Linked DNA regions of Ovis aries. The protein of the gene in region 6 interacts with the protein of the main gene of each other region in a biochemical or structural test. Links are inferred from orthologs where the notes say so. Each region holds a gene or a part of one and is shown on either strand. Other genes may lie near its edges.

Evidence for each region.
Region 1: the proteins of NCK1 (region 6) and FASLG form a complex in vitro, tested with the Homo sapiens proteins (2 studies listed by BioGRID and IntAct, with this or other methods). The link is inferred for Ovis aries from reciprocal best matches to the Homo sapiens genes NCK1 and FASLG.
Region 2: the proteins of NCK1 (region 6) and LCP2 form a complex in vitro, tested with the Homo sapiens proteins (2 studies listed by BioGRID and IntAct, with this or other methods). The link is inferred for Ovis aries from reciprocal best matches to the Homo sapiens genes NCK1 and LCP2.
Region 3: the proteins of NCK1 (region 6) and MAP4K1 form a complex in vitro, tested with the Homo sapiens proteins (2 studies listed by BioGRID, with this or other methods). The link is inferred for Ovis aries from reciprocal best matches to the Homo sapiens genes NCK1 and MAP4K1.
Region 4: the proteins of NCK1 (region 6) and KHDRBS1 form a complex in vitro, tested with the Homo sapiens proteins (3 studies listed by BioGRID, with this or other methods). The link is inferred for Ovis aries from reciprocal best matches to the Homo sapiens genes NCK1 and KHDRBS1.
Region 5: the proteins of NCK1 (region 6) and SOS1 form a complex in vitro, tested with the Homo sapiens proteins (2 studies listed by BioGRID). The link is inferred for Ovis aries from reciprocal best matches to the Homo sapiens genes NCK1 and SOS1.
Region 7: the proteins of NCK1 (region 6) and ERBB3 form a complex in vitro, tested with the Homo sapiens proteins (2 studies listed by BioGRID and IntAct, with this or other methods). The link is inferred for Ovis aries from reciprocal best matches to the Homo sapiens genes NCK1 and ERBB3.

The regions. Positions count from the first base shown.
Region 1 is NC_056065.1:39,430,832-39,435,368, forward strand, and holds the start of FASLG (tumor necrosis factor ligand superfamily member 6), read left to right. Parts: upstream 1-1,571; 5' UTR 1,572-1,781; coding exon 1,782-2,117; intron 2,118-3,203; coding exon 3,204-3,249; intron 3,250-4,537. UniProt on the Homo sapiens protein: Cytokine that binds to TNFRSF6/FAS, a receptor that transduces the apoptotic signal into cells. Involved in cytotoxic T-cell-mediated apoptosis, natural killer cell-mediated apoptosis and in T-cell development.
Region 2 is NC_056069.1:2,324,608-2,328,412, reverse strand, and holds part of LCP2 (lymphocyte cytosolic protein 2), read left to right. Parts: intron 1-49; coding exon 50-99; intron 100-3,278; coding exon 3,279-3,370; intron 3,371-3,805. UniProt on the Homo sapiens protein: Adapter protein primarily involved in signaling pathways within T-cells, as well as other immune cells such as platelets, mast cells, and natural killer (NK) cells.
Region 3 is NC_056067.1:47,742,725-47,746,529, reverse strand, and holds part of MAP4K1 (mitogen-activated protein kinase kinase kinase kinase 1), read left to right. Parts: intron 1-466; coding exon 467-543; intron 544-644; coding exon 645-705; intron 706-1,639; coding exon 1,640-1,748; intron 1,749-1,835; coding exon 1,836-1,894; intron 1,895-2,075; coding exon 2,076-2,179; intron 2,180-2,576; coding exon 2,577-2,751; intron 2,752-3,031; coding exon 3,032-3,097; intron 3,098-3,295; coding exon 3,296-3,385; intron 3,386-3,475; coding exon 3,476-3,546; intron 3,547-3,805. UniProt on the Homo sapiens protein: Serine/threonine-protein kinase, which plays a role in the response to environmental stress. Appears to act upstream of the JUN N-terminal pathway.
Region 4 is NC_056055.1:235,469,389-235,473,689, forward strand, and holds the start of KHDRBS1 (KH domain-containing, RNA-binding, signal transduction-associated protein 1), read right to left. Parts: upstream 2,870-4,301; 5' UTR 2,713-2,869; coding exon 2,331-2,712; intron 1-2,330. UniProt on the Homo sapiens protein: Recruited and tyrosine phosphorylated by several receptor systems, for example the T-cell, leptin and insulin receptors. Once phosphorylated, functions as an adapter protein in signal transduction cascades by binding to SH2 and SH3 domain-containing proteins.
Region 5 is NC_056056.1:85,013,748-85,018,083, reverse strand, and holds the start of SOS1 (son of sevenless homolog 1), read right to left. Parts: upstream 2,926-4,336; 5' UTR 2,797-2,925; intron 1-2,796.
Region 6 is NC_056054.1:252,944,863-252,949,381, forward strand, and holds the start of NCK1 (cytoplasmic protein NCK1), read right to left. Parts: upstream 3,057-4,519; 5' UTR 2,941-3,056; exon of another isoform or gene 2,666-2,940; intron 1-2,665. UniProt on the Homo sapiens protein: Adapter protein which associates with tyrosine-phosphorylated growth factor receptors, such as KDR and PDGFRB, or their cellular substrates. Maintains low levels of EIF2S1 phosphorylation by promoting its dephosphorylation by PP1.
Region 7 is NC_056056.1:163,445,662-163,449,466, forward strand, and holds part of ERBB3 (receptor tyrosine-protein kinase erbB-3), read right to left. Parts: coding exon 3,696-3,805; intron 3,588-3,695; coding exon 3,446-3,587; intron 1,511-3,445; coding exon 1,397-1,510; intron 1,296-1,396; coding exon 1,175-1,295; intron 1-1,174. UniProt on the Homo sapiens protein: Tyrosine-protein kinase that plays an essential role as cell surface receptor for neuregulins.

The DNA.
Region 1 (4,537 bases), on a different chromosome or scaffold from region 6:
AAAGCTTTAGGGTAGTCAATGAAGCAGAAATAGATGTTTTTCTGAAACTCCCTTGCTTTCTCCATGATCCAACACATGTTGACAACCATAACAGAGGTGCCTAAAGGGCCCAGGAAGGCCATTTCTCACAGTGAGTTTCATGGGAAACACAGTGGAGGGTGTGCAAGCCAGGCAGCCTGGCACACCCATGTCCTGACCTTGAGAGCTGCAACAGTGGCCCAACTCCAGCTGACTGGGTTTGCAGACAGGGCCTCCAGACTGCCCAATATTCTAGTGTTTCAAAACCCAATATGACTATAACATATATGGACTATCCCAATTTTTCTGAATGGCCTACACAACAAAAGTTTATTTTCTCAGTTCTGGATGATAGAAGTCCACGATCAAAGAGTCAGTAGGGCTGGTTTCTCCTGAGTCCTCTTTTCATGGTTTACAGATAACCACCTTCTTGCTGTGTGCTCACTTGGCCTTTTCTGTGTACATATGCCTCCCTGCTGTCTCTACCGCTTCTTCTTTTTTTCAGGAAGTATTTATTTCTTTATTTTTGGCTATGCTGGCTCCTTGTCAGTGTGTGGGCTTTGTCTAGTTGTAGACAAGCATGGGCTTCTCATTGCCGTGACTTCTCTCTTTGTAGAGCATGGGCTCTAGGGAACGTGGGTTCAGTGGTTGCAGCTGTAGGGCTTAGTTGCCCCATGCCATGTGGGATCTTCCTAGAGCAAGAATGGAATATGTGTCCCCTGCATTGCAAGGCAGATTCTCAACCATTGGACCACCAAGGGAGCCCTCTACCTCTTCTTATAAGGACATTAATCATGTTGGATTAGGGTCCCACTCAGACTACCTCATTTAACCTTAATTACACCTTAAAGGCATTATCTCCAAATACAATTACACTGGGGATTGGGATTCGGTGCTTACACTTTGGAAGAACACTATTCAGTCCATAACAGCAGTCCACTGTGAGTCTCAACGGTAATCTTTTGCCCCAGGCATCTGTGGTTGGTTTATCTTGTGCTTTTCTGGCCTAAGTTTTAGACTCAGCAAAACAGAGATGAATGTCTGCATTATGGACTATCCCGTTTTTTGAGGAGGACGGTAAATAGAAATAAACAACATTGTAAGGCACAAGCAAAGCAGGTCTGAGGGCTCTGTGAGGCATATGGCCACTGGTTTGCAATCTCTGATCTATTATAGAGTAGGCAGGCAAGTTTGTAACCTGTAAACTACGGTGCTTTGCTGTGTCAGGGTAAACAGTACTTGGGTGTGGGGGAGGGATGGCAGCAGGGGGTGATTCCCTCCTGCCAAAGGTAAGACCCAGAAGTGACTCCTCTGGCCGTGACTCGGTGCTTTCGCCCCACAGGCCACTCTCCTTGTAGCTGAACAGCGGCCGGAGCCTACAGAGCTGCGCTGACGCTACCCCCGTCTCAGGGCCTGAGGACAACGAGCCCACCCTACCAGCCTTTCAGGGAGCAGGGCAGCAGCGACTGGGGTTTTGAAAGCTTTCATCAGAAAGTTGTGGGCGGAAACTTCCGGGGGTTTGCTCTGAGCTTCTTGAAGCTTCTCAGGTTCAGATGCAGAGTGAGTGGGTGTCTCTTTGAGAAGCAGAAAGAGAGAACGAAAGAGAGGTGTTTCCCTTGGTTCTGGAAACTCTATAAAGAGAGAACCGGCTTCCTTCTCATGAGCAGTCAGAAATAGGAGTCCGGCCCTTGACACCTGGGCCTCCGCACGACTGAGGAAGAGGAAAACCCTTGGCTGGGGGCTGGCCTGAGGCACTGGATACCATGCAGCAGCCCTTGAATTACCCATACCCCTCAATCTTCTGGGTGGACAGCAGTGCCAGCTCCCCCTGGGCCTCTCCAGGATCAGTCTTCCCCTGTCCGTCCTCAGTGCCAGGAAGGCCGGGGCAAAGGAGGCCACCACCACCGCCACCCCCAACACTACCGCCATCGCCACCCCTGCCTCCACTACCGCCACCACCTCTGAAGAAGAGGAGGGGCCACAACACAGGCCTGTGTCTCCTTGTGGTGTTTTTCATGGTTCTGGTGGCCCTGGTTGGACTGGGGCTGGGGATATTTCAGCTCTTCCATCTGCAGAAGGAGTTGGCCGAACTCAGAGAGGTAAGCTGCCTGGGGGATTGCCGCACCCTGGAATGTGCGGAGGTGGGGGATGGGGTGAAACTGCCCTGCTGCAGTGGGGGAGGAGGGCGACAGAAATCCACATGGACCACACTTGGCTTGCAGCATACTTCTCAATCCTTTCTTCCTGTCTTAGAAATGAATCACGCTAGCCATCCTGTTCTGCCTGCAGAGAAATGGGGGCTCAAATGGGTGGAAGGAATATTTTCTATCTTGGGAGGGATCAGGATCAAATCAGGACTGGCAGATGATCAGTTGGCTGATCATCTGAGAGAGGAAGAACTCTGCTACCTACCTCATACTCGATTCAAGAAAGAAAAGGGACTTGGCATCTGAGAAGTGAATTTGTTCAAATGCACAAACTAAATTTCCTTGAAAGTGCTTAAAATTATTAGAACTATTTCAAATCACAAAACTGAGGCATGGACAGGCACAATTGCTTGGCCAGAGTCTGAGTTAGGAGAGGTTCTGGGTGCTTAGATTCCCTTTCCAGTGCTTAGTTTATTTGACAGTTCTTCTTCCTTTGCTTAAAGAACTTCATCAGTTCAGTCGCTCAGTCGTGTCCGACTCTTTGCGACCCCATGAATTGCAGCACGTGAGGCCTCCCTGTCCATCACCAACTCCTGGAGTTCACTCAGGCTCACATCCATTGAGTCAGTGATGCCATCCAGCCATCTCATCCTCTGTCGTCCCCTTCTCCTCCTGCCCCCAATCCCTCCCAGCATCAAAGTCTTTTCCAGTGAGTCAACTCTTCTCATGAGGTGGCCAAAGTACTGGAATTTCAGCTGTAGCATCATTCCTTCCAAAGAAATCCCAGGGCTGATCTCCTTCAAAGTGGACTGGTTGGATCTCCTTGCAGTCCAAGGGACTCTCAAGAGTCTTCTCCAACATCACAGTTCAAAAGCATCAGTTCTTCGGCGCTCAGCCTTCTTCACAGTCCAACTCTCACATCCGTACATGACTACTGCAAAAACCATAGCCTTGACTAGACGGACCTTAGTCGGCAAAGTAATGTCTCTGCTTTTGAATGTGCTATCTAGTTATTATGTATCTTTTCTCTTTTGCCAGTCCACCAGCCAGAGGCATACAGCATCATCTGTGGAGAAGCAAATAGGTGAGTTTTTTTATGCTTGCACGTTGAGTTTCTAAAAACAGTCCTCAGCACCAACCATGTTGGAGGAGTACCTTGAATTCCACCTTATTCTTAGGCATATATAGACTATAGAAGAGAAATCCTAACCAATTCTGAAATCTCTTGTCATTTTGGTTCTTGAAACTGCCCTAAAATATGAAGTGAGTTTAACTGTTCAAAATTAGTTAAGTATCACAGAAAAATTCAAAACTAATTTCTGCTTGAATTTGGAAAGAGAAACACAGATGTACAACCCTGGACCTTTGCCCACCCCCCACACCCCAAGCAGCTGGCTCCAGGCCTGCCCCCTTCCTCAGGCCTCCTGATTCCCATGTACAGGGCGGTGGCTATAGCTCCTCAGGAGAGAAGGGAAGGTGCAGACAGACACAGCTGTTGCTGGGAAAGATCCTTGCTCTCCTATTTAATCTCTGTACTCTTGCCTGGAAAATCCCATGGATGGAGGAGCCTGGTAGGCTGCAGTCCATGGGGTCGCTAAGCGGACATGACTGAGTGACTTCACTTTCACCTTTCGCTTTCATGCATTGGAGAAGGAAATGGCAACCCACTCCAGTGTTCTTGCCTGGAGAATCCCAGGGATGGGGGAGCCTGGTTGGCTGCCATCTATAGGGTCACACGTAGTCGGACATGACTGAAGTGACTTAGCAATAGCAAAAAAAAAAAAAAAAAATTACTTAAGAGTCAGACCTGATTTAAAATTTTAATAGGTTATATTTAAGCTTTTAAAGAGTGGGCAACCAGTCATCCACATTAGGGTGGTTCTTTTGCAGCCGCTGGAAAGCTTGGAGGAAGACGTTAGGCATTTTACAGAGGGTAGTCCCACTTCACTCAGAGACAATCATGCGCTGCTTTTGATAATAAAGGGAAATCCTCTGTGTGAAATTCAGGACAGGAAGATGACAATGTTGAACATCGGCCTCCTAAAGTTTCAGGACATAGTTTTGGAAACTGTGGATTTAGAATACTCGTTAAACTAAGATGGAAAGGAGGTTAGAGAACATCTGGTCCAGTCTTCTCACCTTTCAGAAGAGAAGCAAAACACCAGATGGATTAGTAATGTCCCCAAGACCTCTGCTGTGGAATGGGGCTGAGAAGGAGCTCAGGCTCCTGATGCCTTGCCACCTCCAGCTCTTACCAGTGTGTGCTCCGGCCCTGTGACACAGGGAAACTCCTACTCCTATCTATCTCTGATGGGCATGGAATGAGAAATAAGGACGACAGGCAAGATGCCTCTGCAAAGAGAAGACAGCAC
Region 2 (3,805 bases), on a different chromosome or scaffold from region 6:
CGCCTTAAGCCCGACCCAACTTCACATCTGTTCTTTTTTGTCTCCACAGCAACCCTACCTTTCCGCAGAGCGCCTCCCTGCCGCCATGCTTCTCTCAAGGTTTGTTCTCTGCGCTCTAGTGACCGACTCTAGCCCATATGCCGTCGTCCCAAAGCCTTTCGGCAAAAGTTTTGTTGTTTCCTAAAAGCATCCGACTTCATTATTCAGCACTTCGGTTTCTGAAGTGTACCAAAGGTTGCTGTAGTGATAGGATACTCCACACAACAACAAAAACAACACACAGACACACACACTCCTCCGCAGGAAGGCGCCCTTGGCTTTATCTTCCCAGGCGGAACTTTTCTTCCCGGCTGTTTTTATATGATGCTTAGGATGGTGCTAGCTTTCTCTGTAGTTTAGATTTCTATAATGAATCTAACCTGGAGTGCTAGTTGAGGAACATGTTTAAAATACAGATTAAGGGACCCCCAACCCCCAGGATTCTGATACAGTAAGTCTGGCTGAAGACCTGTATTTTCTAATAATATTTCCTTTGGGTGTCGATGGTAAGTATTTCTTGAGAGAGTCCTCAAACTTTAAAAGGCACGCAAATCCCCTGGGAGCTATGTTAAAATGCAGATTCTAATCAGTGGGTCTTGGATGGGACCCAGGGTTCTGCATTTCCAGCAAGTTTCCATGTGATTCCCAAGTTCCAAGTTCCCAGCTGGTATTGCTGGTTCATGGACCACTTCAAGTAGAAACAAAGGCCTACCCAGTAGGACTAGCTGTGTTTATTTTCTATCCTTAAGGACTTGCAAGTGACTAGTACATGGTAAGCACTTTAAAACATTTGTTGAATGACTGTCAAATGACTATGGAGAGTCACCCAACTCTAGTAAACAATTTTTTCTTCTCATGCTAGAAAACACATCTTGTGTTACCAGATTTTCTGATTTATTTTTCAAGAAAACATAGAAATATGGCTTTCAATGTGAAATTACCTAATTTTTAAAGATTGACTTAAGATTTAAAAATTCTGTGAGGAAAAAATAAAACACTTTTTTTTTTTTGTAGTCATGTACACATGCAGGAACATTAGTTTGTGTTATAAACAGAAAACTAATAAGTTTAAATTTTCACTTAAGAGTCGACTCTTTCTTTTAGGGGCATGTCTATTACATTCAGTTGGGTACATCATGCCATATATGTATGAGATTCTACTGCTGACACCAATGAAACCCACTGTATTTTCAATGTTTCCTAAGCATTTTAGGATATAGTGTCCTTATTCACTACATGGCTTCCACAACTCCCCCCACCCCTCAGTGGCCACAACTCATTATTTTGTAAACCTACTTTGTGTCCCTAGCCTGGTCCGTCCAGGCATCTGAGCTTGAGACACTTCACTTATAGCAGTATCTGCCAAAGTAAATTCCATAGACCCCTGCTTCTATGAGTTGGTGACAGAGATTATTAATATAAACAGTTGGCTTTTATTATTTTTTTGAATATAATCATCCCTCTAATACAGGAGGGGGGATTGGTTCCAGGACCCCCCACTGATAACAAAATCCCAGGATGTTCAAGTTCTCTGTATAAAATGATGTCGCACAGTTGGCCCTTCACATCCACAGCTCCACATCCACAGACCTGGCTAACCCATTGGTTGAACCAGTCTGTAGTCGGCTGAATTCACCGATGCGGAAGCCATGAACGCAGAGGGCTCACTCTACTACCTTAATCAAAATCGATCCCTTTTCTCCCAAGAGTGCCAGGACACCTGGTCCTCAGTCTAACCCACTGGTTCCCCAAGGTCAGGAAGATAAAGCATGTGCTTTATATTGGCCAAAAACCTGTGCCAGTTCCCTTGAGGATCTATTTATTAAGGGTGGAGGGTGACTGCAATGAAAAGTAATATGTTGTCTGTCATGAACAGTGACTTTGTGGTGCTGACCTGCAGATGCAGATGGAGAATAATTCCTCAGTTCTAAGACAGCCATGCCCTGTAGACCTTCATTGCATGACTTTCTCACGTAGCTAGATCTCACTCACTCAGCAAGCATTATACAATGTTGCACTGCAGAGATTGTCATGCGGAAGGTCTGCTCAGGCACTGGGAGCCTTAAGAAGGAAGATCAGCAGCTCAGGCTAGCCCCATCTGCATCTCGAATAATCCTGACTAGGAAGACTTGGACTCTTCAAGTAACTCTCCCCTCTCAGGGGCCCTGGGGCAGGCGATTTACCCTCTGTGGTGTATTAGATGTATTAGATGAAGTAACAGAGCTGGTGCAGAACCACCTGGAGTGCTTGTTAAAGGCAGATTCTTGAGCCTGGGTGATTCAGGGTCCCCCTGGAATTCTCTTTTACGCACAGTCATATTTGGGAACCACAAGCTCAAGTTCTGGCTCTGCCACTAAGACACATGATTTGTTTAGACTCTCTGAATCTTTGTTTCATGATATTCAAAAAGAAGACAATACCCACCTTGTGGAGTTGCTGTGAGGATGAAAGGTCATGCACACAGGTGTCTTATTCAGGGCCTGGACACAGCAGTGCTGAAAAAATATCTGTTGAATGAACAAATGAGTGATGCATGAATTGTTAAGAGAACATTCAACTCACGGACTTTACCAGCCTGAAATAGCTGTTCTGGCATATAGAGACAGGTTTAGCAACTGCAAATCAACACAATCAAACCTTCCCTGAGATTAGGAAACACATTCTCTTGAAAAATTTCATGGAACTGTCAACAAGGAAAAAAAAAAGCATTAGAGAAGATGAGGCACAAATGCTGGGTAATTTACAGACTCCGACACAGGCTTCCTGATGGATCAGATACTGTCAGGGCCTCCTTCTATGTGAGTCTAACAGTTCTACTTCTAAAAGAAATTTGGTCAAGAACAGCAGGTAGTAAGCTCTGGCTCTGAAATCTAAGAATATTCAAGGTAATTTCACCTCATCTTGGGTAAGTCACATGTCTTGTTGTGAAAATGAGAACATAATTATCCTGACCTCCACATTTTACCATTTGGTGGTATATATGTAACTTGCTCAGTTAAGCAACCAATCAAGTGTGCGGTGTAGTGTCTCAGAATTTCACTGGCATGGCTGCAGAATAGGGCCCGAAACAGCCCTTGTGGTTTTGAACAAGTGAAAGTTATTTTGGAAGCTGTGGTTTCTTGAAACGTTAATTGCTGGGAACAATGGCAAGGGCATTGTGGAGGGCGGGCAGTGATGGGCTATGACTAGTGAAAAATTGCTTAAAGTAAATTAACGTTCAAAATGCTATACTTTCAAAGGCCCCCTCAACAGACCACTTCCCAGAGTGGAAGGCAGGAACTTCTCGCCAGTTCCCAGCAAACCTAGACCACAGTCCCCTGGGGAAGAACAGGTAATAAGGCATATGTTCCTATTTTATTTCTACACCAGCAAACGAATCATCAGAATCTTCCACTGAATAGTCTCCTATACTTTTATTTTCTTTTACTCTTAATTTTTTTAGTGAAAAATATTGAGGGGAGAATTCAGTTGAAAAATATTCTTTTTCCTTGATGTTCCTCTTCCAATGGCAAATGTGTGTTTCACATTAAACAGAAAAATAATTCTATTTTTCATCTATTTCTTAGTTTATGACATAGCATAAGTCATTTAACTGCTCATTAACCCAGTGTTTTTCATTAAATATATTATTATTCTAAACTGAAGAAATTATTACATCTAAATCTTTCCTGCTTAGAGACTCGATTATCTATGAATGCTTATTTACCTCTACCTTGCGAATGAGCCTACGATAAAAAGCAGTTCACACAAAATAGCTTCTATTTAG
Region 3 (3,805 bases), on a different chromosome or scaffold from region 6:
ACAAAGTCAGTGGGGAGTAAATGTTAAGGAAACAGTATTAGAGTTTGTGGGGTCACACTGGACAGAAAGAGCCATATGTCAGGGTATTTGAATTTGAGCATCAGTGTTGAGATAGGATTAGCATTCAGGGACCAGAACTGGGGAGAAAGACAGAATTGAGAGAGATACTGGGGAAGACATGTCTGATGTTGGGGTCAGAATTGAGGGGACAGATGGTCAGGGTTTGCAGGTCAGAGATGGGAGAACTACCAGAACAGGGGAAGTCAGAGGCTGGTGAGAATGAGACCAGCTCAAGGGAACTGGTCAGGGTTTGAGTTCAGATTTGTGAAAACAAAGGCTGGAAATGTCAGTGTGAGGGGAGAGTAGAGAACTGAAGGCACAGAGCATCAGTGTTTGGGGTCATATGCGGTCTGGGAGGCCCCGTGTGATGGAGTAGGTCCTAGCATCATCGTGTGTGCCCCCCTAGACCAGCACCTGCTCCTGGGGGCCGAGGAAGGCATTTTTATCCTGAATCGAAATGACCAGGAGGCTACGCTGGAGATGGTGAGGGGCAGTCCCTGGGGTGGGTCAAGGGGGGCCAAGGGTGGGGGCTGAAGTTGGGCTTGCTGGGGTCTTACAGGAGCCATCTCCCCCTTGCCCTGCAGCTTTTTTCTGGCCGGACTACCTGGGTGTACTCCATCAACAATGTCCTCATGTCTCTCTCAGGTCTGGCTGTGGCTTGGGTGGGAGGGGTGGGAGTCAGAACTTAAGGGGTCAAAGGTAAGGAGGTTGGGAAATAGATGGGCACAGAGAAAACAATTAGGCTCCCCCTTCACAGAGCCTACAGTTCAAATTCCAGCCACCTTTTCAGTGTGGGACTTGGGGCAAGACACTTCTTCCTAAGCCTCTGTTTCCCCATCTTTAAAATGGGGCTCACAATAGTGCCCACCTCTCAAGTCAGTTTTGAGGTAATTTCCACAAGAAGTCAGTCTTTACCTTTCTTTGATGTTGACAAGATGACAATACTTGTTCCATGCTTTGCTAAAATGGAGTGAGCAGGTTGTGGATTAAAATTTTGTGTCATTGTTTTATAAACACCTTGTGTAAAAGAATTTCTAATTTATGAGGAGACCCCAAGCCAAATAGAATGAGTGAGCTCATTCATATCACATCTGTGATGACAAACTTTTGCAGAATTTCTAGATGTTCCTTGTTAAACTTTGTAATACGTGTAACTTCATCTGATTGTTAAGTGTCTGTCATTTCTCATGCGGCCACAAGTACTATGAGGGTAGGGAACATATTTATTTTACTTACCATTGTTCACCAGAGCCAAGCACAGTGCCTGGCCTATAGTGGACATTTAAAATATGTTGCACTGCGACTTCCTGGTGGTCCAGTGTTTAAGACTCCACACTTACACAGTAGTGGGCATGGGTTCAATCCCTGGTCAGGGAACTAAGATCCCACATGTCGTGGGGCACAGGCAAAAAAAAAATTTTTTTAACATGTTGCATGAAAAAATGAATAAACAAAGGTGCCTGAGTCTTGAAGACTTGGGCATTTAAAAGGGATGGGGCCGAGTGATGGGCTGAGGGAAGGGTGGGAGTGTGCAGTAGCCTATAACTGCCTGCTTTCCCTATGTACACACACACTGCAGGAAAGACCCCCTACCTGTATTCTCATAGCATCCTGGGCCTGCTGGAACGGAAAGAGGGCAGAGCAGGAAGCCCCATCGCTCACATTAGCCCCCACCGGCTACTAGCAAGGTACCAGCCCCTAGTGGTACCACTGACCCCTCTAATGCCCCATTCCTGCCGTCCCTCGCCCCCATTCATGCCTATCTTCTGCCGCAGGAAGAACATTGTCTCCACTAAGATCCCGGACACCAAAGGCTGCCGGGCGTGCTGTGTGGGTGAGAACCCTAGGGGTGGGCAGACAGGGGGCAAGACCAAGGGTGGGACTTGGACTCCCTCTCCACAGGAGAGGGTTGCAGAGTTAAGGCAGGGTGAGTCGAGCCTGGGGAGAGGTGTGTGGCCTTTGGGGGCGAAGGGTCGCGGGAGAGACCATTGACCGCTCCCTACCCGCCTCCACAGCGGAGGGCACCAGCTCCGGAGGCCCGTTCCTGTGTGGGGCTTTGGAGACATCCGTGGTCCTGCTTCAGTGGTACCAGCCCATGAACAAGTTCCTGCTGGTCCGGGTAGGGAGCCTGGAGACGCTAGGGGCTTTGTCAGCTTGGGTGGCTGGGGCCGTCTACTCTACGCTTCCGCAGCGAGCTCCGCGAACCTGGGCTTCCACCCGAGGCCTCCCACAATCTCCCCAAGGCTCCGCCCACCTGGAGGCTCCTCCCCTGAAGTCTTTCTGATCCTTAAGCTCCGGCCCTCACGCCACCCGTTACTTTCTAAGCCTTCTGAGGCCTCACCTCCTTGAAGTTTCTAGATGGTGCTTCCCAAAACTGAGGGCTCGAGAAACACTTGGCGAGGGGGGAGAAATACTTCGGAAGCTCCAAGCTCACTGTCCTCCAAGACCCCGCCCCTCAGGCCCCGCCCCCGCCCCGCCCCCTCATCTGAACCCGCCCCTCCCTGCGCGGCCCGCAGCAGGTGCTGTTTCCGCTCCCTACGCCTCTGCCGGTGTTTGCACTGCTGACCGGGCCAGGCTCCGAGCTGCCCTCAGTGTGCATCGGCGTGAGCCCCGGAAGGCCGGCGAAGTCGGTGCTCTTCCACACCGTGCGCTTCGGCGCGCTCTCCTGCTGGCTGGGCGAGATGAGCACGGGTGAGTCGCGCAGGCTCTGGGACGGGTGAGGCTTATCAGTTGGGTTGGGTTGGGTCTGAGTGACTGGGCGGTGCTTAGCCTGAGGCGTAATTGGGAAAGGGGATGAACCGTGAGCGGGGCGGGAGAACATTGGGTATATATAATTAATGAGATTGATGATGGGGAGTGGGGAATTCTGTGATGGGCGGGGGTTAGCCCGATTGCTTGGGAATGGAGAGGGGGGCCTAGCGGAGGAAGGCATAATGCGGTGAAATTGGTCCCTGAACCTGGATCTCTCAAGCAGAGCACAAGGGACCAGTACAGGTGACTCAGGTTGAGGAAGACAAGGTGATGGTGTTGATGGACGGTAAGAACCTTCCTCCCTCCCTTGCCTCCACTGTGCCTAGATACCGACCCCCAGACCCCGCACCTCTGAGAGATTCTGAGCCCCTCCAGTCCTTACTCGTCCTGCTTTGCTTCTTACACTGAACGTATTGTCCTGTCCCTTGATAACCTTCTCAAGCCCGCTTACTGCTCTTACAGTCCATTCTCTACCTCCTTCTAGGGTCCCTGAAGCTGGTGACCCCAGAGGGGGCCCCGGCCCGGGGGCTTCGAACTCCAGAGATCCCCATGACTGAAGCAGTGGAGGCCGTGGGTATGTGCCGGAATGATAATTCCGGGGTCTGGGGTCCAGGTTGGAGGCTTAAGTAGAGCCCAAGGGTAACAGGCGCTGCTTTCCTCCCAGCTATGGTCGGGGGTCGGCTCCAGGCCTTCTGGAAGCATGGAGTGCAGGTTTGGGCTCTAGGCTCGGATCAGGTAAGCTCCTTCCTCCTAGCACCCGCAAGCCCCTCCCACGTCAATCATCTCACTCATCAGATCCATTGGGAGAACAGACTCACTCAGGGTGTAAAGTCCCTGGAGGTGACACTTCTCTAGGCTCAGTTCAGACAGGTCCCCGTCTCTGCTCCAGTGTCTCTTGGGACCAGAGCTCAACCAGGGTCACTGTGTGACTTCGCTTCTTTCTGAGCCTCCCTCAGACTCCTAACTGTAAAATGGGGTCACAAATAGAGACAAG
Region 4 (4,301 bases), on a different chromosome or scaffold from region 6:
ACATAAAAAAAGCTTTGGACTTCTCCAGTGGTCCGGTGGTTAAGAATCCATCCTGCAATGCAGGGGACCTAGGTTTGATACCTGGCCCTGGGATCTAAGATCCCACATGCCACAGAGGAATGAAGCTTATTGGTGAAAACTAAGACCTGACACAGTCAAATAAATAAAATACATATGTTTTTTAAAAAGTGAGAGGGGGAAAAAAGCTCAAATTAAAAAAAAAATTAAAGCACGCTCTCTCGTGACAAAAGTTAAGCAGTAAGAGAGAGGTGAAAATTTTATTTAAGGATCAGGCTTTCCTGGTGGCTCGGATGGTAAAGAATCTGCCTGCAATGCAGAAGACCTGGGTTCAATCCCTGGGTAAGGAAGATTCCCCTGGAGGAGGGCATGGCAACCCACTCCAGTATTCTAGCCTGGAGAATCCCATGGACAGAGGAGCTTGGTAAGCTCCACTGTCCATGGGGTCACAAAAGAGTCGAACATGACTGAGCAACTAAAACTTTCACTATAAGGATTGAGTTTTTGATAGCTATTCTAAGAAATCGTATTTTACTTAAAAGACTAGACTAGCACTGGACACCTGATGTGCGTAGAATAGCAAGAAAATTTTTGCGTTTTCATCCTAAATCTGTACCACGAATTTACAACTAGGAGAAAACTGGTGGCAAGTTATTAGCTAATGATTACAGGTCAAAAGGAACTGTGCCAGAGCTTTTTATACAACATTTAATCCTCACAACTCACCACCCCACTTTACAGATGAGCTTAGTGAGATTCAAAAAGTTTCCCAAGAATAGATGACTAGTCAAGAGCTAGAATTTCAAAGCCAAGTCAACACCTTACAGTTCTAAAGTTTGTTATTTTATTCTATACATTTAATCTGGACTGTTTGAAGATGCAAGAAAATAAAAATAAAACCCAGTCAACTTTTACCATTGTCTGAGGTTCTTGAACCTACATGTACTTGCTTTCAGATTCAAACAACTGGTATTTGCTATATGCAAGACAATAAGATTTAAAAAGCTTTCCTTGCCCTCAAAGAGTTTGCCAGAAGAACACAATGAACAGTAATGTTTCAAACAATCTGACTGTGTTATAGAAGAGCAAAGCACAGAGCTGAAGCCGTAAGCAGTTTATTTAAATGTTATTCTTGAATGTCTGGGGCTTTGTTTACTGTTTAAAAGTAAAGATCTCTAATGTTGGGAGACAGAGAACAAACGCAGGGAAAAAGATATTTTCATATAGGGCCTGTCCATTATTTCAATCCTGCCAAAGAGTCCAACTACTCACTCAGTGTTGGAAGGTTTTGAATTTTTATTTGCTTATAAAATTTAGGTATCATAAGACACTCATTATACCGTTTTAACAGGAAGAGAGGGCAAAATAGGCGGTTTTCAGGAGAAATCAGAGCGACTAGATGATGGCTAGTTTTGCGCAAAAAAGGAGCGCTAGTCTACAGACAAGAGAACAAAGACTACTATTCCTCGTCTGTTTCACTACTGAGAAGAGCGGGGGAGGAGGCCACGCAAACTTCTGTCAATTTTTTTCCCCATCTGATTGGGAATGCCACGCAAACCATCCTTAACCTCCTTCTATCACCCCTTCACCGTCTCTAGGTTTATTTTTTTCCCCTTTCTTGAATGCACAACACACATTATAAAATAAAGGGATCCAAAACGTCTGGCTAGGCAGAAATGACCATCTTATCTGCCGAGGTCGGAAATATAATTCGGAAAACCTCAAGCTCGGATTCCCACAGGTTGCTCCTGCCTCCAAGCAACTCAAGCTCCAGTTACCGCTAAGTCCGACCGGCCCCTGCGGCCGCGGCGCTGGACAGGGCACCCCAGTCTCATCCCATCTCACCTCGCCCCCCGCCCCACTCACGGTCCCTCCCGGCTCAGGCTGTCTTCACCTCCTACACTCAGTTGAGGCGCCGACAGCCACCCGCGATCAAACAAGCTTCCCCTTTGGGGGAAGGGGGAGATGAAGGTTCCTTTCTGGAAGAATCTGAGCACTCGGAGCGCAGGGCAGCTGCAAGAGGGGAGGAGGAAGGGTCGGCCAAGGGGGCGGGGAACGCGGCATTTATCCATCAAGATCTTTGCGCTAAGAGATGGCTAAGTTCCCTCCGGGCCTCCACTGCCGTCTGGAAATTCTCCCTCGCACTCTGGGCCGGGATGGGAACGTGGAATCTTAAGCTTCCGAAGATGAAGATGAGAGGAGTCCACGATTGCCGAGGTCCTCAGGGAACGGGAAGCAAGAGGAACAAAGCCGCTACCACCCATGCCCCTGGCTGGCCCGGAGACCCAGAGGGACCCCAGAGGCCCGCTTACCTGCCGTCAGCAACTGCATGGCGTGAGTGAAGGACGGGTCAAGAGAGTCCTTCTCGGCCATGAGTTCGGGCAGATACTTGTTCTCCGGCTCCATCTTGACGGAGGCAGTGGCTGAGGGGGGCAGCAGCGGGGTCGGCGCTGGACCGCCCACTGTCGCGTCGGGACCGGTGGCCGAGGGCGGCAGCAGCGGTGGCGGCTGCGTGGCGGGCGAGGCCCGGGCGCCCCCGCGAGACCCTCCTCCGCCTCCCCGGGACCGGTGAGGCAGCGGTGGCTGCCGAGGGGGCGCCTGACGCACGGAGGGGTGGGCACCTGAGGGGTCCATGGAGCCGCTGCGGCCCGAGGACCGGCTCATGCGAGCGGCGGGGTCGTCCCGGCGCTGCATTGGGAAAGATGTGCGATTAAGGGATCGAGGAAGCGACGCGGTAGCGGCAGAGGCCTGAGCGCCGGCGGCCCGAGCGGCGGTTGGCGGGGGTGGGAGAGCGGGAGCGACAGCGACCGAAGCCGACCCGAGCGACCCAGCAAAAGAGAGCACCGGAAATGAGGCGGCGCGCGTGCGCAGCCAGCCACCGGCACCGCCCTTGGGTCTCTCCGCGGAGAACAAAGTCCCCGGTCGGGCCACGGCGCCTGCGCACCGCCGTGGAGTCTGAAGAAGTCGCCTCCTCTCTCCCCTTTTCCCTCCGAGCCCTCCAGGCCGGGTACTTGAGCGCGTGCGCGGGAGGCCGCGGGCTCCGTTCGTTTCTTTTCCACGTGACTCGGCGCTAGCGGGACACGTGTCTCCTCCCTCTTCTGGCCGAGCGCACAGAGGGGGCGGGGGCTGTGGAATGTCTTTGTCTGCGCGCGAGCCCGCGGAGTGTGGGGCGGGAGACCTGTTACTCGCGGGGCCACGCCTCCAACGGCTGAGCTGTGGAGGGGGGGTGCCTGTACTCAGTCGGTGGGTCGGGCGCGGGGTGGGGAGGGGAGTGGTTACTGAAGAATGAAAGGAGACCCTCCCGGGGGATGCGGGAGGGGAAGGAGAGGGAATTGGGGCTGACTGGGCAGAAGAAGGCGAGGGTGAGAGGCGCAAGGGAGATTAGAGTGAAGAAGGAACGACTAAGGGAGAGTCTGACGTAGGGTTGAGGGGTGGAGATGCGGCCAGACTTGGAGGGGGCCATTGAGGAAGGACTGGTCAGTGGAAAGACTGAAGGCTATTGGAGGAGTTAAACTAAGAGGGAGGGTTCAGATCAGGGACCTAATATCCAGCCAGGAAAAGGGCCCCAGACCGAAACAGGGAGTCCAAGAAGTCGTATCCTGTCGTTTCCAGTATAGTGGGTTCTTAGACTTAGCCGTTGTTGATCAGAGAAGTCGTCTGAAAGGTGAAGCATTTTAACTCTCTGCGTATAGTACTGCTTTCTGCAGATTGTGTTTCTTTCACAAAAAAAGTGGGGTAGAGGCCAGCTCTAATCTGTGATGGTTGCATCATTCGGGTGGCTTCTTCTGATGTGAGTGCTAATCCTCCTGCTGTAAATCATCTTTCTACACTTGCTCAAAGAGATAGACCCTTACCACAGCTCTCAAGGCCAAGGCATTATAGTGGACAGTCTCCCACAGCCTACTCCTTATCCTGGGGTGCTATATGCAGATGAAGGCTAGGTCCTTACTTTCCATAAACTCTAACACTTGGTACCTTCTCTAACCCTTCCCCCCACAGATTTTTTTTTTTTTTCTTCTCTCATTCAAAGCATTTGCTCTCATCCCTTTTCCTTCTGGATCTGTTCCCCTAATAAACCCACGCTTTCCAAAAGCATTTCTGGAAATTGTCTTCTGGGAGCCTAAAAACTGCTGATTTGTAGATTTGAAACTTAGAAGCCTTCAGCTTAGGGAACATTAGGGCTTGGCTGCCTTCTTGGGGGTAGGGAGATAAATCACCAGCAGGAATGAGAACAAAACACAAATCTCCATAAATTATCACATAGGTCACATAGATAGTTTATA
Region 5 (4,336 bases), on a different chromosome or scaffold from region 6:
AGAGTCATGGCCAGATTATTTCGTGGTGCTTGTATTGGTGTCTTTAGGTTTTCTGGTGAGGTCTTAATTTGTGCCTTTTTGGCTAAATCCCACTAACTGGATTTGTCTTCGTGGTTACATATTCCACTGAGGGCTTTAAGATTCTGTTTCTTCCTAGTACTTGACAGTGTTTGTTAGGTAATATGTGGACATTTAAAATAGTGCCAATAAACTAAGTTGTGTACATAGAAAAACTTGACATTTTTATTTGCTAGAAGGTAAGCTCTTTCTCATGTTAGAAATGCAAGAGCTGCCAAATGGAAGACAGGAGATTGTTGAGTAAGATGAGTTCTCCTACTTCTTTGGGAGAGAACATGGCAACTAGTGTAATTAAACAACTCTATGGATTTATTTCAAGGGATCACATATCAAACTGTAGAAGTGAATATATTCAAAAGTTATAGAAGGTATTAAAAATAATAATCAGTATTTACATAGCTCCTTATGCTACCAAGCATATTAACATAATTGTTTCACTTAATACTTATAACAACTTCAGGTTGTTAAAAATTTTCATTTAGAGTTGAAGACACTGATGATAAAAGGACATGACCTGTAAGTGACAAAGCCAAAATCTGACCTCTGGTTGGATGCCTTTCAGGTTAAAAGAGAAAGAGGGCAAATGTGGAAAGACAATGGCACCAGTTACCTTGAAGAATCAAATGTGCTAGAGATCTTTGGTTATGAGCAGAAGCTCATTCAGTGTAGATCAGTCTTTCCGCTAACATCCAGAAGATGACCTAGCTGATGTCTAGTGAGTGTGATAATGAGTGAAGAGCACTGGTTAAAGAACACTCATCAAGACCCAAACTGACTGACTACTTACATATATATATTTTTTGGCAGGGTGACAAAAGATAGAAAATGAGTAGTCTGGCATCTAGCCAGTTATCTAACATAGATGTAAATATTTTTCTTGCAAAAAGAAGGAAATCACCTATTGGATCACTGTGAAGATATCAAGCAAATTTCTAGCTAGAATGTAATCATAGATTTGATAGAATACAATGTCTGGACCATTTCTTCATTATGGTGCTTTAGATTTCCCCCATAGGGTGGTTATACATGTTTTATGAGAAGATGATTTCCCCCTGGGAAGTAGAGCAGTGTTGACTAAGATAAATAAGAATCAAAGACAGAGGCCAATGGGTAACCGGGAAGAAGGATTTTTAGATTCCCTAGAGTATATTCTAGGCTAAATAACATCTGACCCCCAAATTATAATCTGAAAAGATACATGTAAAAAGTGTTTAAAGCAGCACTATTTACAATAGCCAAGACGTAGAACCAACCTAAATGTCCATCGACAGACGAATGGATAAGAATGAATACAATAAATGTGGTATTCCATACAATGGAATGTTTTGTTGTTGTTGAGTCTCTAAATTGTGTCCAACTCTCTGTGACCCCATGGACTGCAGCATGCCAGGCTTCCCTGTCTTCACTAACTCCCAGAGTTTGCTCAAATTCATGTCCATTGAGTTGGTGATGTTATCCAACCCTCTCAGCCTCTTCTGCTCCCTTCTCCCTTGCCTTCAATCTTTTCCAGCATCAGGGTCTTTTCCAATAAGTCAGCTCTTCACATCAGGTGGCCAAAGTATTGGAGCTTCAGCTTTAGCACCAGTCCTTTCAGTGAATATTCACAGATATTCAGTGAATATTCAATGAACTATTTCTCTTCCATAAAAAGGATGAAATAATGCCATAGGCAGCAACATGGATGGAGGTAAAGACTACCATACTAAGTGAAATAAGTCCGAAAGAAAAAGAGAAACACCATATGATATCAGTTACATGTGGAATCTAAAAATATAACACAAATGAACATATCTATGAAACAGAAAGGTTTCCCTGGTGGCTCAGCTGGTAAAGAATCCGACTGCAATGTGGGTGACCTGGGTTCGATCCCTGGGTTGGGAAGATCCACTGGAGATGGAAACTGCCACCCACTCCAGTATTCTGGCCTAGAGAATTCCATTGATTGTGTAGCCCATGGGGTTGCAAAGAGTTAGACACAACTGAGTGACTTTCATTCATTCATTCATGAAACAGAAACAAACTCACAGAGAGAACAGACTTATGGTTGCCAAAGGGGAGAGGGCTGGGGAAGAAAGGACTGGCGGTTTGGGATTGTTTAGTTGTTGTGTCTGACTCTTTTGCAATCCCATGGATTGTAGCCCACTAGGCTCCTTTGTCCATGGGATTTTCCAGGCAAGAATAGTGGAATGAGTTGCCTTTTTTTTCTCTAGTGTTTGGGATTAACAGATGCTAACTATTACAAATAGAATGGATAAACAACAAGGTCCTGTTGTTTAGCACAGGGAACTATATTCAATATCTAGTGAAAAAACAAAATGAAAAAGAATATATATATATATATATATATATATATAACTGAATCACTTAGAGGTACAGCAGAAATTAACACAACATTGTAAATCAACTATACTTCAACAAAATTAAAAAGATAACTTTATGCCTTAGTTAAAGTTTGCATATAAATTGAGAATATGTTTCTCCACTAAACAGTATACAATTTAAAAACATACTGTTTCAGTTATCTATTACTGCATATCAAATCCAACCTGGAAAGTAGTGACTTAAAACCACTGGTTTATTATTTCTTATAGTTGGTAGGTTGACTGGGCTCAGCTGGGCAGTTATTCTGTTCTACCTGATGCTGGTTAGGGATGCTGATCTGGGGATCTTCAGCTGGTGGCTACACTGAGTTGGAAAGTCCAGGAAGGCTTCACTCACATGACTGGCCCCCGTGGTGCTCCTCCACCTGCCTCTTCCTCTCCATGTGGTGTCTTATCATTTAGTTGTATCTAGCTCAAGCTTCTTTACAGCATGGAGGCTGGCTTCCTCAGAGAGAAATGGAGGACTTCTCTGTCTGGGGAAGAAGCTGCCAGACCTTTCAAGGGCTAAGCCCAGAAATGGGACAGGGCATCTAAGGAAGACACAGGTCATAAGATGAGGAGAGGGAGCGAGATTTCATCTCTTGATAAGAGGAGTGGAAAGTATCATGGTAAAACTGATGTAGGTTCAGAGAAATTGTTGTAGCTACCATTGGAAATAATTGACCACACTCTTTTTACATAAGTGCTATTAAAAATAATGAAAGCAGAAAGGTTAGTTCAGAAAAAAATAAAAGAACTGAAGTATATTTAAATAGTGACTCATTCATTATTTTATCAATTGTTTTTCTCTCTGATCACTAGTCTAAGTTTGGTCTTGAGCCTTTTTGTGTTTTTAAACCTATAACAGAAGCTAGCTTGGGCTTGAAGATACAAGAACATCTTGCAGCTTAAGTATGGTAAAGGGCCAGAGAAAAATTTGAACTGAAGGAAAAAGAATCTTAGAGCCTCAAAGTAAAGCTGTAAAGATGTTCTCAGAGATAAACATCAAGCCGGTCAGACTGGAAAAGTTTTTGCTAGTTTTCCATTTGTAAAAATTCCCAGCCATAGGCAACAAAAGGAATAGTTTGCTACATCAGCTATTCAGATATTCCAACTGATAGGAAATAAAATAACAAATTCTGGAATTAATATACGAAGATGACAGTTTTTCTCACTTAAATACAAAGTATTAGTCAACAGACTAATAGCTGAGTTGAACAAAAATTAGGAGACAGAAATAGTTCTAACTTTTATTAAAATAAGCTAAAGAACATATTCAGGTTGAGTGATATATTCGAATATAAAGTCACCAAAGTTTTTAATCCCATTCTTAGGTTTTACAAGCATCTTAAGATAAAAAAAATATTATGTATACTTAACATAATACAACTAAAACTGTTTGCAGTACATTATATCTAGAAGTATAAATTGTCATTATGCTATCAAATGCTAATTGAATCATAGCTATAAGTTTATGTGATTTGAAGTAGACCTGCTTTTATACAAACATGTCCTAAAATCATAAGTAGACACACAACATCTTCAAAGTAACAAAATATAGAGATACAGTCAGTGACTAGTGCTCAGGACAGAAAAGAAGAATTGTAACTTTATAAATACAAGTCATTTATACGCCTGTTAAATAGGAAAAAAAAAATTCTTGGCCTGATTATAAGCTTTAAGGATAAGTTAAATATAAGGTTGACTGAGACTGTGTCCCTGTTGCTGAAACATAAAACAGATAAAATTCAGTTCTATTTGCAGAATTCCATTAAGTTGTCATTTACCGAAACTACCAAAAGTTTTACTGAAGTTAGAAATGTACTGAATGTTCTTTGCCTTAATGGATATCTTAAATTAGTATTTCACAGCATATGTCATTTGCAAGCTAATTAGTG
Region 6 (4,519 bases):
ATCCAACAGTAAAACTTGTAAGAGATTCATTTTTAATGGGTCATAGGACTCAACAGTGGACACGCCAATATTATTTTAGTTAATGCTGTTAATATACCCAACAAGCTAGAGAAAGACTTCCTGTAGACTTTAAATCACTGTTTCAAGGATTCAAACAATTCAGGTCATAAATGTTCCCCTCCCCTCATACAGAAGTTCTGAATCTAACCAATACACAAAACGCAAAGTAATGTGAAGCAAACAATACAAAATGACACTGCAAGAGATGAAAAGAAGTATAGCTTCATAAGAATACACACATAAATTTTAATACACAGAACTTGAGTTAGGAAATCAAGTAGGAAATTAAGGTATATGTAAGTCAGCTCTGCCAGGGTCACTAGGTGAATTTCAGTGAACTTAGTCTGTATGGATTACATTTTCCCTATGTATAAAATGGAAGGATGGATTCAACATTCCCACAATATTGTTCTGTAGTATTATAATACAAGTCCACATATTAAAAACCAAAGAAATGATAAAACAGTAAGGGCTGTGGGTTCAAAGGAAAGCAACAACACAGAAACCGAAAGATCTAGAAGGCTGTGCAGAAGGACCAAATGTGAAATGTTAACAAAATCTGACTTTACTTGCCACTTAATTTAAGGAGGAAAATTTCTTTTAAAAAATACTAGCAATAAACAGGCAAAGTGTCAACAGACATGAAGGCAGGAAAATACACAATCTAGATGAGAACAAGAGATTGGTTTGTGTTAGGATGGACAGCTCCTATAGAGAATTACTGTTATCATTAGAAAAAAACAGGTTTTGAGCAGACTGTTAGAAGGCTGGGAATTCTGAACTATACTCGAAATAACAGGGAACTAATGCTGGTTTAACAGTGAGGGTGGTGGAAGCACTATTTTAGAACAAGGCAGAAGCCAGAACATACTAAGGGAGAAAAGAGGCAGAAAATCCGGTTAAAAGCTACTGGGGGGAAAAAAGAAAACGAGTGGTTAGAACAGATATCTGAAAGAAATTTCAGAAAATGGCTGACAAAAATTGGGCAATGTTATGTGGTGAGAGGAAGTCTTAAGATAAAACCAGGGCTTATGCCTGGGTAGTTTAAGGCATGATAAATATCACCAAAACAAAGTCAGCATATGGAATCAGTTTTGAAGGAAGACTATAAATTCTATCTTTCAAATAAAGTGAGGAACATCCAGACAGAATTGTTGCCTTATTAAATAATCTTTAAATGTCATTTTTGGCCCTGTCAATTGTCTTCCTAAAACACCACAGCAAAGTATTAACAGAGAATTTGTTAAATGCTTAGTGATTTCAATAGTTTCCTCCAATTCTACTTATTGACGAAATAAGAAAATCATTTAGTCTTCTGGTGTAGGCAGAAAAATATCTGGTATTTTTCCATATTACAAAGGTAAATAAATTGTAAAAATTGTTAAACTATAAAAGAATAAAATAGACAGGATATGGATTTATTAAGTCTTCCTGACAAGTGATTTATAACATTTGCATCAAATCTACCTTGAGTTTTGGCAGGGAAGTTCTCAAAGGTGCAAAAAATCCAGTGGCCTAAAACATATCTCAATATCTAACAAAACGTACCCTGTTATGTTTCATGTTTTATTTTCAAGGACCTGAAAGCACTAGTAAAATCTAGACTAAATATTTAGAAAAACAGAACAAACAAGTTTAAAATTTAATATATGAACAAGCACAGCTGAGAAATCCTGAACATTCTGCAAACTGTTCAGAATTTTCCAAAGAAGAAAATCGTAAAGTTTGCAATAAAAATGAAATAAAACTATTAATCAACCAAAGCACAGATCTCGAGTTTCTATCAAACTATGAGGGATATCTATTTAAGAACTGAATATTACTGACAATTACCAAACAGAACCTTCTTCTTGGATAATTCCCCATTTACTCTGTAAACTCCCTGAGGGTTGAGACACAGCACTTTCCATCTGCTTAATAAACTGTATGGTTGGTCTTTCTTACATCTACCAAAGTAAGATTTTTAAAAATGAATACCTCTTGCAACATTTACTTGTCCTGACTGAACAGTGAGCTTTTTTTTGCTCACCACCCAAGATGGGGATAGAAATTTCTTCAACTCATCCTTTCCTAACTCCCCTGGTTTCTTGCCAAAGTTAACGGGCAGAATTATTTTTAAGTGACTAGTTCATTAGTGTGACACTAAACTGGGCGTCTGTAAAGTAAGGGTTCTCAGTCCGGCACAAAATTCAGCTTCCCGAGCTTCTAATAGCAAACTTTTATGGACACACACAGGAAAGGTTACAAAACCAACTACCAAGATACATTTTTCCCCCCGGATATATTACAACTCAAGTCAAAAGCTTACAGCCCAAGTAACTCACGTACGAATCCATGATATTATAATAACCCAGATTTCCCAACAAGGGAAACTGCAGGGGGCTGGGTGGGGGGAGGGGCGGGAGGCGCATCCCGAGGATGTCCATCCTCCGCACCCTGAACGGCTCCCTCCCACTCCTAGAGGTAAGCGCCCCTCTCCACCACCACCGCGGCCTCGGAATGCGCCACAAAGCCGTCAGGACTTTGAGAGGTAAAGAAAAGGAGGAGGGTGCACGCCACACACTCGACCTCTCAGCCTCCAGGGACGGCCGGCCGCAGCGCTCACCCGGACCCGACGCTCCAGGGAGGGACAGGAAGGTCGTAGGGCTGCGCCTCCCAGGGCAGTGGCCGGAGGGTCGCGCGAAGCCGCGAGGCAAAAAGCCCAGGCCCGACCAAGCGGCCTCCCCGCCCCCTCCGGCTTCGCTCCGAGCCGGCAGACGGCGCCCCGGGAGCTAACTTCAGCAGGGAAGAGGAAGCTCCGCGGCAAGTAACGGGCTATGTAGATTCCCCAGACGAGAAAAAGGCTGTCTGTGCGTCTGCCTGCCGGCAGGACCGTCTCACCTCCCCTCTGCCAAGCCCGGGCGGCGCCAGCTCACTTGAGGAGGGCAGGGACGCCGCCACGGCCGCCGCGATGGCCGTTACGGCACGAGGCCTCCGCTCTGCCGCCGCGTAGCTCTGGGGAGAGAGGCGGGGCGTGCGCGGCGGGAGGGCGGGGCTGCAGCGCCGACCGGTCGCGAGGCCCTGGGCGGACCCGCGCAGACAGGAAACCCCCCCTCCCTGCCCAATCTGATAGGTTCAGTCTTCCCCTTCCCTCCTATCACTGACGCGAGGGCGGTCTTCGCCGCTCTGGGATTGGGCGAGCCCTCCTGTCAATCAATTGCTGTGCTAGGTGTGGAGCTGAGGCTGCTCGGTGGAGAGGGAGTGAGAGAGACAGAAGCGCCCTGCCAGTTTCTGGGTTTTGTTGCTTCTGTGTCTCTGGCTGATTATTCTGGGGCCTTCCTCCTCAGCGCCACAGGAGATTCCACAACAGAACTGACTGCTTTCCGAGTTAAGCCCCGACTGCTCTGGGAGCTTCCTTCTGGTTTCTGCACCTGAAGAAGGTCTTACCAGCGGAAAGTTCTTAGGGACGGGAGCGAAAATGAGAAGCAAACAAAAAGGCCTGAACGTAGAGTCCTGAGAGAAAAATGTAAGACGTGTCCTTAACTTGAACCGCAAACCAAAATAAGCTGAGTCTGAGGGCCTTCGAAGCGCCCTGGTGCGTGGATAGCTTCCATTCTTGGTTGCCGTAGCCTTGCTGTGAGGACAGTGACTTTCGGTGACAGGTCTGTTCTTTCTTAGCTGCCCAGCCCCAGACACCTGCCATCAGTAAGTTGGTTCTCCCCACGCCGGAGCCTCAGACCCCATCACCTGCCTCTTCCTCCCCAGCCATCTCTGTGGCTCTGCGTAGGCGTTTGCCGCCCAGGGAAGCCTGGTAAGTGCACAGGTGTTTTCCCCATCCAGCTGCTGAAAGAGCCAGACTTTTTGCGACTCCATGGATCTGAAGCCCACCAGGTTCCTCTCTCCATGGAATTTGCCAGGCAAGAATCCTGGAGCTTTTTGCCATTTCCTAGGGATACAACCAGCGTCTCCTGCACTGGCAAGGGGATTCTTTACCACCTGGGGAGACCTCCCTACCCCTACATGATTTCAAATCAGAAATCATGTCAGTCAGTACTGTTTTTCCCCAGTACCTAGCACATGGTAGTGTTAGGCACTTAGTCCTGTCTGACGCTTTGCGACCCCATGGACTGTAACACATGGAATTGTCCAGGCAAGAATACTGGGGTGGGTTACCATTTCCTTCTCCAGGGGATCTTGGACCCAGGGATCGAACCCAAGTCTCCCACTTTGCAGGCAGATTCTAGCACATGGTAGATCATCAGTAAGTATTGTTTAAGGCATTAGTACAGCTTCAATCCCCAATTTCATTCATTTATGCTTTTCTGTATTTAACTTCAGAATTATTCATTTGTATCCTAATAGAGGAATATGGTTCACTTGCCATATATATGATCACACGGTCAAGCATAAATCACCTGTGGCCCCTTCCTGGCCTCAAGTTGAGAGGGCAAGTGGACCAGGAAAATCTGGGCAGCAACTC
Region 7 (3,805 bases), on a different chromosome or scaffold from region 6:
TCTGATTAACATCTGTAAATTAGATAACATTTTGTATCTGCTAATTTCTTGATTTAAACAAATGTACTGTGGTTAAGTAAGAAAACGTTCTTGTTTTCAAGGAATACACCCTGAAATGTCACTGGGGTGAGAGGACACCATGTCTGGAAATTTACCTTCAAGTGGTTCAGAAAAACAAGAGCATATATAATGAGTGTGTGTGTGTGCGTGTGTGTGTTGTGTAGAGAGAGAAATGATAAAGCATATGGTACACTGGAGAAGGCGATGGCACCCCACTCCAGTACCCTTGCCTGGAAAATCCCAAGGATGGAGAAGCCTGGTATGCTACAGTCCATGGGGTCACAAAAAGTCAGACAGGACTGAGTGACTTCACTTTCCTTTCCTTTTTTTATGGTACACTGTTAACACTTGCTGCTGCTAAGTCGCTTCAGTCATGTCCGACTCTGTGCGACCCCATAGATGGCAGCCCACCAGGCTCCCCCGTCCCTGGGATTCTCCAGGCAAGAACACTGGAGTGGGTTGCCATTTCCTTCTCCAATGCATGAAAGTGAAAAGTGAAAGTGAAGTCGCTCAGTCATGTCCGTGCAACCCCATGGACTGCAGCCTATCAGGCTCCTCCGCCCATGGGATTTTCTAGGCAAGGGTACTGGAGTGGGGTGCCGTTGGGGGATCTGAATAAAGAGCATATGGAAAATCTTTGTACCATTTTTTGCAACTTTAGATACAATATTGTCCAAAGACAAGTGGTCCTAACGTTTTGTCTCTCTCTCTCTCTCTCTCTCACACACACACACACTCACTCACTGTAAACGCTGTCCTGTGGACTGGAATGTCCCTTGCTCTTTGTGGCTCCATACCAAGGAGCAGAACTAGGTGAAACAGCTGGAAGTCATGGGGAGAAAGATTTGTATCCAACTTAAGAACATTTAGAAACCTTTAAGAAGGAGGATACTCTGTCCCTGTCCCTTGCCATTCAGGTGGCTGGGTTGTTCAGGGGTGTCTGAGGGGATTCAAGCCCTGGGGGATTAAGCACTGCCAGGTCCTTTGTGATCTCTTTAAGATTTTATGATCTAACTTCCTGATCAGCTCCCCGTATGAAGGCTTGAACCAGTGCAATGAACTGTGAGGGGGTTGATGGGGTTGGGGATCAGAGGATGAAAACAGAATCTCTAACCCATTGAGGCCAGTGATAAGAAAGTCCAGGTTGCCCAGGATCTTGGTGCAGTTCACGAATCCATCAATGTTGCTCGAGTCCACAGTCTGGAAGCGGCTCCCAGAGCCTGTCCCCTCACAGGCTGCAAACAGAAGAGGCTCAGTGTGGGGATGAGGGGTCGGGGCTGAGTAGTCTCAGGGGAAAGGGTGTCTCTTCACCAACTCCTTTCAATCTCTTACTCACCTTTCGGGCACAGACCCCCACAAGGTTCACATATCTTGAGTCCATTTTTATCTACTTCCATCTTGTCAGCAGGACAGGCCCTGACACAAGACGTTTGATCCACCACAAAGTTATCTAGGAAAGAGGAAAGAGATGAGGGACGAACACTGCCAACTACCAGCTGAACCGCCTCCCTCCTTATCTGCATGGATTTGCTCCAATTGACCACCGGAGGTTCCTTAAGTGCTGGATTCTAAGCATGGATTAGAAAGGCCCTTTGCTCTCTGGATCCCAAAAGCAGAACTAGAAGCAATTGGTGGAAGTCATGGGGAAACAGATACGGGGAACAGGACATAGGGGCCATTTGTTAAGGGTGATGATGATCACAACCCATTGCCCTTTACACTCTCAATTAAACTCCCAACTTGATCCATTTCACCTCCTAAAATTGCATCTAGGGAATTTCCTGGCAGTACAGTGATTAGGACTCCGTGCTTTCACTGCTGAAGGCTTGAGTCCGATCCCTAGTCAGGACATGGCCAAAAAAAGGAAAAAATTTCATCTAAAACCCTGGTTAATATTGTGGGAGGAAGCACAACTTAAGGAGTAGAATGTGCTTACCCCTGGGGTAAGATATATAGCAGGAACCAGCCTGGCAACATGGCCAGGACTGCCACTCAAAATAATCACCACTGATTTAAAGTTTTATTTAGACTTCATTCATACCCTTGAAGTCGATAAAAGTCTTGCCACATTTTATTAGTGAAGTTGGAAGATGTATCATTTGTTTGTTGTTCTGTCCCCTCCCCCAATACTAAACTGTGAAATTTGATTTGTTTAAACTCTGGATGAATCATAGCTTAGTTTGCATGTCCAGCTAATTTGTTTCTATACATTTTCTTTGATTCTCTTTCTCCTTCTCTCAGGGTTTTTACCCAATATATATATGTGTATGTATATAGGTATAGATACATAAATAGATCTTCCTAAAAGTTTTTTGAGGTGCAAGTTTCTCTGTTTTGTTTTTCTCTGTGATTTATGGACATGATGCTGAGATTCAATCACTACATAAAACATCCGGCTATGAAAACAAAACAGAAAACCCAAAGGACTGTTTTTTCCACCAGCTCCGGGGAAGCTATGTGTCAGTCGGATGCTGATTTCAGAAAGATTCACTGTTCCTTCCATTCTGTTTCTCTCTTTCCTCTAGAAAGAAGTTGATCCTAATGATTTCAGCCCATGAATTAAACAGGACAAAATAACAAATGTGTGGAATTCATATTTTTCTAAAGGGAACTTAAAAACTGCTGCTACATGTTACATACAAAATTGGTTTATACCACATGAACAGAAAATCCCAAGTTCAGTTTTGGTATTTTTCCTTCCTCTTTGTTTTCAGTCATATAGTACTTCCAAATTCAAAATGAGAAGAAAAGCTCTTTTGTATCAAACCATCTATGCAATAAATGTTATATTTTAAAAACAGCAGGTCGCTGGTCACACACACAAACACACACAGAATAAGATTAAATAAAATCCTGTCAGGGACTTCCTTGGTGGTCCAATGGTTAAGACTCCGTGCTTCCAGTGTAAAGGGCATGGGTTCAATCACTGTTCAGGGAATTAAGATTCCACATGCTGTGCAGTGTGGCAAAAACAATATTAAAAAAATAAAATGGATAGGACTTCCCTGGTGGCACAGTGGACGGGAACCTGCCTGCCAATCTAGGAGACACAGATTCAATCCCTTGTCTGGGAAGATCCCACATGCAGTGAAGCAACTAAGTCTATGTGCCACGACTACTGAGCCTGAGCTCTAGAGCCCACGAGCCACAGCTACTGAAGCCTTTATGCCTAGAGCCCATGCTGCTCAACAAGAGAAGCCTCCACTATGAGAAGCCCACACATTGAAATTAAGAGAAGAACCCGGTTCACCGCAATAGAGAAAGCGGCGCAAAGCAACAAAGATCCAGCGCTACTATTCATAAATACATAAATTTTTGTAAAAAAAAGGCTAAAAGAATAAAATCCTGGTTCCACTCCCATTGTTCCTTCCCTTCAGACACTTACGGGGACAGCTGGCTACACACACTCCTCCATACTGATACTTGGTATAGGGATTGGGTTCCAACTGGAAAGTTAGCTTGTTGTAGACTAGAGGCTGTGGACACTGGCGTACACAGGCCCCACTGTCATTGAAGAGTCGGCAGGCCTAGGAACACAGAAGGCTTATAAGACTCATGTTACATATGTACCCTAACTTCCTCCCCAAAGCCCACGCCCCATTTCAGAACAGTCAGGTGGTGGCATCGGTACGTACAAAGCAGTCTGTGTTCTGAGGGCCTGAGCAGCCCCCTGCACACTCGTCATGGCAGCACTGGTTGGGGTTGGGCCCAAAGCAGTGACCATTACACTGCGGTGCACAGATAG